2 linked regions of the Drosophila melanogaster genome follow. The protein of the gene in region 1 interacts with the protein of each later gene in a pairwise test. Each region holds a gene or a part of one and is shown in the gene's direction. Other genes may lie near its edges.

Evidence for each region.
Region 2: the proteins of Pfdn5 (region 1) and CG15676 interact in a two-hybrid assay, tested with the Drosophila melanogaster proteins (2 studies listed by BioGRID).

The regions. Positions count from the first base shown.
Region 1 is NT_033777.3:22,485,079-22,488,917, forward strand, and holds Pfdn5 (prefoldin 5), read left to right. Parts: upstream 1-1,960; 5' UTR 1,961-2,215; coding exon 2,216-2,314; intron 2,315-2,431; coding exon 2,432-2,641; intron 2,642-2,702; coding exon 2,703-2,900; 3' UTR 2,901-3,003; downstream 3,004-3,839. Other genes in the region: CG5376 (uncharacterized protein), read right to left, coding at 3,004-3,072, 3,133-3,555, 3,607-3,804. UniProt on the Drosophila melanogaster protein: Binds specifically to cytosolic chaperonin (c-CPN) and transfers target proteins to it. Binds to nascent polypeptide chain and promotes folding in an environment in which there are many competing pathways for nonnative proteins.
Region 2 is NT_033778.4:21,669,542-21,673,345, forward strand, and holds CG15676 (uncharacterized protein), read left to right. Parts: upstream 1-2,158; 5' UTR 2,159-2,187; coding exon 2,188-2,736; 3' UTR 2,737-3,304; downstream 3,305-3,804. Other genes in the region: CG42381 (uncharacterized protein), read right to left, coding at 1-152, 214-277; NC2alpha (negative cofactor 2alpha), read left to right, coding at 706-747, 955-1,938.

The DNA.
Region 1 (3,839 bases):
AAGACACACACACTAGCACACTTACACACGAAACACTCTAACACACACGCAAAATTCGAAGACACTGAAGCGAACCTACCTAGCTTTTCTACAACAACTGCTATTCAATGTGAGCGAACATTACTTTACCGTCGACTAATGAGGAAATCAAGCAACAATTTTACAGTATTATAGCAGCTTTAAGCGTATTTTTCGAAGCCCACGTGACGTATACACAATCAGCAGTCACCAGCACACTCACAGCTTACACCCACATACTATTACACAAGCACACATACATAGACGCGAAATTCGATATTCAGCAAGCCGCCATTAAATTCTGTATACATATTAATAATCGCATATATCATTTTGATGCGCTATATTAAAATTTTTGTCTCACTATCAATACCAATTAGTGTATCATTTTGGATTAGATATACAAAATACCTATATACACTCGATATACTACTACTAATACACGCACACTCACCTCACTCACACAATCACCAACTCACGCATTCGATCACTAGCGAAATTACTGGACATACTTCTCTCGAATTCTTAATGGAAACCAAGGCAAGGTATGCTGTAAATACCTAGGAAAGTACTATATATACATGAATATATATATATATATTTAACAACTAAAAAACATATATATACTGCATTTCAAGAAACTTTTGATATATTTTCGAGTTTTTTAAACCCTTATCTTGTATACAAAAAGGAAGCGAAAGCGAAAACACGAGACAAACTAGCGAATCTAGCTGAAATGAACACCTAGGACAATTACAATTACAAGTACATAGCGAAACACAGTACATACAGTACATACAGTACAGTACAGTACATAAACACAACTATATATACAGGACATACACGCATACATTCAAACTATACTATTTATAAATGTACATCTATACAAAATATACATACATGCATACCATATAACGTACGAGTATGTTTAACGATCAATGATTATTATTACGAATTACGTCCCTTCGATTTGATAATGAAACCAAACGAAAAGAAACCACAAATTTTAACGCTGTTGATAACCAAAACCATTCCCACTTATAAATGTAACACTCTCTCCCGACAACTTTCTCTCTATCTCTTCACAATGTTAATGCTGCACAATGAAAACTCTGCATTTAAAGTAAACCACTAACGTTTATTCGTTTCGATTCAAGAGAAAACCAAATTATATATAACTAATTATACAAATTTGCCTTGCGATTTAACAGCGAGCACACGATATTGAATCCAAAATCCAGATGGGGAGCTTAAAATATCCGCGATTAAGAAATCGAATCGACACGCCCTCAAAAGCAAGATCTTCTTCATTGTTTCAAAACGAATTACATTTTATTAAGATCAAAACCAAATCAAGGTAAATGTTATGTATGTATGATATAGTGGGAGGATCGCGAAGGACGAGTACAGTTAGTTGTATGGGTAAAATAACATAGTTAAAGCATATAACTTAATAGTTCAAGGATCGGAGGAGCAGCGATTGCGAGTGGGAGCGCATATAGAGGGGAACGATCGCAAGTATCGGAACTAAAACTTACTTCTACTTAGGCTTAAAATCATTGTTATCTAATCTATACATATATAAAAACCGACATACAACACCCCACATATAACAGAGAATATGTATATGAACATGTATTGGATGCGCGGCGCTTGAGCTGTGCCTACTTATATATATATAAATATATATATATTTAACAAATTGTAACGTGTATATGTAGCGGCAGTGATTGTTAAAGAAATTGCTTTGTTTTGTGTTAGATTTTATAATTTACGAGAAAACCAAAAACAAAAATTGTAAAACGCATACAAATACAGAATGACTGACAAAACACAGAATTATAACATTGCATATAATAAATACAATAAAACTATAATTGAAAAACAAGTTTGGTTAATGCTTTTTTGCTGAGTAAGATCTGTCTTTAAACTCAAAAGATATTGTAGATTCAGAAGTCACTGATTTTTTTTTTAAATTTTTACTTCGCGCTTAGTACTCGATAACAAATCGTCGGCGGGACTGGACTACCGACTATTTCAACGAATCATTCGATTCCCGATTGCTTCCGTGAAATCGATATTTTCTGACCCAGCTTCATGACATCCCTGTTGAGTTGAATACGCAAAGGTGGCAACCTTATACGGCGACTGAATAAAATAAAAGTGGAATTGTAAATTATAAGTGTAAGCACTAGCAATGGCTGCCACCCCAAGCGCACCCGCCAAGTCCGAGATGATCGACCTGACCAAGTTGAGTCCGGAACAGCTGATTCAGATCAAGCAGGAGTTCGAGCAGGTGCGTTCCGCATGTGGGTGTGTGATGAGTCAAGTGTGCTCGCGGAGGGGGTTTCTGGAGGAGGGGCGCCCCAATTGGCACATGCTTCTAAAATCGGTACATTTTTGTGATCCTTAGGAGATTACCAACGTACAGGACTCGCTGTCGACGCTTCACGGCTGTCAAGCCAAGTACGCCGGATCCAAGGAGGCGCTGGGAACCTTTCAACCCAATTGGGAGAACCGTCAGATCCTGGTGCCCCTGACCAGCAGTATGTATGTGCCAGGACGGGTCAAGGATCTCAACAGGTTCGTCATAGACATCGGCACCGGCTACTACATTGAAAAGGTGATTTACATTTCCAATCGAACCTAGAATATTTATTGATTGCCATCTGTTTCTCAAACAGGATCTGGAAGGCTCCAAAGACTACTTCAAGCGACGCGTGGAGTACGTGCAGGAGCAGATCGAGAAAATCGAAAAGATCCACCTGCAAAAGACGCGCTTCTATAACTCAGTGATGAGTGTGCTGGAGATGAAGCAGGCTGCTGCAGCGAAATTGCAGTCGCAGCAGCAATCGCAGCCGGCGGTTACCCAGAGCTCCTAGACTACGGAGAACGACAGAGACACGAGACACGGAAAGCATTAAATTATTAAACTTATTAACGAGATGTGTGCATTTAATTAACGTAGTTTATTAAATTGTTCAGCTATTTCTTGGCTTCTGCCAAAGCCTTGGTGAGAACCTTGACCTTCTGCTCGTACGCGGACTTAAGATCCTGTAGGGAAAGAAGGTAATAGTATATCAAGTATATCATTGGACTCGAGTTATAAGGCACCTTGAATATCTGTGACTGGGTGTCGTACTCCGAACGCAGCTTGTCATACACTCCTTTGGAGATGGCTAGTTTCTTCTCCGTGAGCACACACTTGTCTTGCTCCGCCTTGATCCACTGCTGGCTCTTCTCCAGACGAGCCTGCGTGTGATCACATTCGGCGGTCTTTAGCTGCAACATGTCCTTGGTCACCTGCAGCACATCCTTAATCGAGTCTACTTGTGTCCTAAGCACTGATATCTGCTGCTCCTGCTGTTTGTTCACCTTGGTCTTCTCGAACAGCAGGGTTTTGGCCTTTAGAAGCAGCTCCTCCTGCTCTTGTCGTGATTTGGGAGCATCTGTGCCGCCCAGCATGACGGACTGCTTGAGCGACTGCTCCAACTGGACCACTCTCCGCTTTAAACGCTCATTTTCCGCCTTGGCTTCCTGCAATCAGGGTCAGTAAGTGGGTGCAGCCCGTGGAGACGAGTAACTAACCTCAAAGTCTTTGCGGAGCGCTCCGATCCGTTTGCGAGACTCCTCTAGTAGTGCCTGTTTTTCGCTTTCCAACGTGAAAACCATGTCCAGCAGTTCGTTCTGCGGCTGCTCCGGCTGACGCACTTCCTCCTGCCCATTTGCTGTTATATTGTTGTTTAGGTCACCGCCAACAGCTTCATCTTCGTTATGATCGGCCATTTTATGAAGAATTCTTTTTAAATGATAAAAATTCG
Region 2 (3,804 bases), on another chromosome or scaffold:
GCCGGTTGCGTTCTTTTCCTTGGATGCGTCTGGTAGATAAGTCTTCTCCAAATCGATTCCACTGCAGCAAAGCGATTCCTTGTGCCACTTTAAACAGCACTGGCGCATTGCCTCAAGGACATCCAAGCACTTGTCCTCCTGGTAGTGATTCTCTGTAACCGAGTGCAAGTCAGCTTACATAACCATGAAAATGGAGTCACCGGCGGTGCTTACTGGTCAGACAGGCTTGTATGCGGCAGGCGTTCGGTTTGCAGGGATCCTTGCGAGTGTCAGACATGTAATCCTGCCCAGAATTCTTACGATATTAAATCGCTCTTGCAATATGTGAAAAGTACTTGGAAGTGTTCTGCACTCTTCTTCTTCTTGGCGGTTGTAGTCATTCACAGTGCACGATCAAGGTAGCCAGACTGCGCGACGGTCAGCTGTGTAGGAAACCTAATACATCAAAGCAAAATAAAAAACAATCACATAAATAACAACAAAAAGAAATAACATCTCTTATAATGTACAAAAATTTTTAATCTTTCAAATTTTGATATTAATACCTTTTGCTTCCCTGTGAATACCCCGCCTGCTGCGAGAGCAACTGCCATTCACCCATCGACGCCGACAGTTGGGCACCAAGGAACTGTTCTTGTGTGAAAAACACACACACATTTGTTTTATTTCACTAGGACTCTTGACGATTACTTCACAAATCGGAAAATGCCATCGAAAAAGAAAAAATACAACGCACGCTTTCCGGCGGTAAGTTGAAACCACCGATTGGCGACAGGAAAGCTCCAGCCATTTGGCGGCCGTGAACGCCGAAGATGGGTTATCAGTTTTCGTGCATGTGTACATACATATGTACATACACGCCTCGCATAATCAGAGGCTCAAAAGAAGTAGAGGAGAAACCAAACCGGTGCGAGATTATAATGTTTCCAAACCATTACCATAAACTCCTTGCAGGGTCGCATCAAGAAGATCATGCAAAGCGACGAGGAAATCGGGAAGGTGGCCCAGGCGGTGCCTGTTATCATCTCACGCACGCTGGAGCTCTTCGTGGAGTCGCTGCTGACCAAGACGCTGCGCATCACGAATGCGCGCAACGCCAAGACGCTATCGCCATCGCACATGAGGCAGTGTATCGTATCCGAGAAACGCTTTGACTTCCTCAAGGAGCTGGTCCGCAACATACCCGACATCAGTGTGGCCGAGGAGGCCGCCTACAACGAGGACGATGTGTTACGCAGCTCGCCAGAGGAACAGTATCCAGATTCAGACACGCCATATGATCTTAGCCTGCCATCGACGTCAATGCGCTCGCAGGCGAACGGCACAGCTGCCTACATGCGCTCCATGAGTCTGAACAACGGAGCCGGATCGGGCGGAGGAGCCGCAGCCACCAAGCGGCAGTTTCAGTCGCAGCACTCCACCCAGGAAACTCCCACCACCAGCACCACCCTGCCCGCCAAGCTGGCCCGCTCCGGGTCCATGCCGGCCTACACGCCACGGGGCAGACCGCCCAATCACCTCAAGAAACAGTCGGTGCAGCTCGATACTGCCATACCCGCCCCGATCTGCAACTACGAACTCAACAAGCCCATTGTCAAGATCGACTACAGCCACGTGCAAATGCCGACGGCGAACCTGTGCACACCGGACGCCTCTGATTCTGGGTCAGGATCGGGCGCCGGATCTGGAGCTTTTAACTTCGACATAGCTGCTCCGGTGATCAATATCGATCTGACGAATATCGTGGCCGGTGGAGCACCTGGCAGTGGTGTGCCCCCCGCCTCTATTGGATTACCAGCGGCCACGCCGGGGGACAACAATAATGTGAACCAAATGGCTGGAAAGAGCAGCGCTCCCATCATTCCAAAGGCCACAGCGGCATCAGCGACCCCCACTGAAACCGTTTTCGAATTAGACGAAGACTATGACAATATTTGATTAGGATCTATGTGAATGCGCTTTTAAATTATTGATACATTAATATGTACTCTAGGTCTAAGAAATCACAATAACATTTTTTGCAAAATAAAGACCATGCTGGATTTTAAGCTGACGCAATGCGGAGTACTTTAAATAGAGAAAGAAAATTTATACATTCTAGCAGATAATGCTGTTTAATTTGCATACGATATTAAATCAGTTTATCTTTGAATTAGATGTACTAAACAAGTTCAACAATTATTGAAAATGTTTGCATTCATAGACACCATAAAAAAGCCGCCTCTGGGCGGCCGAAAGTCATTTATGCCCATCCCAGAGGCCAAGTTAGTTGACGATGTCGTCAGCTACATCGCCAAGCCAGAGTTCTATTCGACTGTTCCAGCGGCATTGAAGATGCAACGCCTTTTCTATGTGCAATACAGCGAACTGGCTGCCAAGTTGGAGACTGACCTCACAGCAGTGTTAACCCGTTTGGAGGCTGCCAAAAATAATTTGGAATTGGTGAGGAGGTTCATAGACAATCCTGACAAGGAAGTTCACAGCCTCGTGCAAATCGCACAGGGAGTATTCAGATGGGTGAGCATACCGCCAGTGCAAAAGGTTACCCTTCAAGTGGGCGCATCTCTGCAAATGGAATTCGAGCTGTCCGAGGCGGAGGAGTTCATCAAAAAGGACATCACCAGCCTGGTGAAGCAGCAATTGCAACATGAGCACGATATCGACTATCTGCAGGATCAGGTGAACACGATTGAGATGAACCTAGCCGTATTGTATAAACATGAAGTGGAGAACTAGAAGCATCCCACCATCCTTAAAATTGCTAGTACCTTGTAGTTGCTTATAAAGACATTCGTTCTAAATAAGTCTTTATTGTCTAAATGCCTTAATTTCCAACGAAGTACAGCTCTCCCTTGGAGTTCCCCACTAATTCATTCATTACAATTACATTATTAGCAGCCCGGTAAAGAGGTCAGAGTATCGGGACCGTAGGATCCCAGACTGTGCCCTACAAAATGTGACCTTTATTACCGAGCTCGGCTATTTACAAGCCTATACACATCATAATAATTATGACTTAATTTCGCCAGGGAGCACCGCTTAGTCATTGTGTAATCCTCGGTCACAGCCAATTACAATTGAATGCCTTTCAATCCCATGCCCATGCCTTCGTCCAGCTGTTACTCCAGCCCTCCGCATATTCGCACACGCAATCTGCCAGCCACAATTGATATTAATTTGTGCCCGATGTGGGTCAACCCATGATGTAGACTCCATTCCCTTCCAAGGATACCAAATTATATGGCAAAAGGACAAAACTGACCAGCAGATGAGCCACATATCGCGTGGGAAAATCTTATTGCAAGCGAATAAAATTACCCAACCGCTCCCAGTGAGCAAAGGTGCAGTTTTGAATTATATGAATTTTCATCCATGGGCTTGGCACACTAGATTAGGGTCAGCACTATTCCCGAATTTTGATTAGCCAAGCCCAAAGTCGAGATTAGATTGCTGCGCTCTCTCAACCAGATCAAGTGAATCCGCCAAAGAGTTTGGGCTCGGCTAATCGAAGCCCCTTCAATTGGGGGAATCAGATCTGCATCTGCACACCTGCACTCGTGGACTCCACGCTGTCCACCTGTCTTGAGTCATGGCGCAAAAAAAAAAGAGGTTAGAAACAATAAAAACAACTTGCGGCGCGCCGCCAGTGCCAAGTTTTCATGTCCAAGGCGTATTTATGTCAACCGGAAGTAGGTTTACTGACCCACGTATACCCGTGTGGCTGGCCAAACGTGGACTTCGGCTTTCTTCGGTGGTTTCTTCACCTAAACCCGACTGGTCAGTTGCCGTGGAGCTCCACGGCGC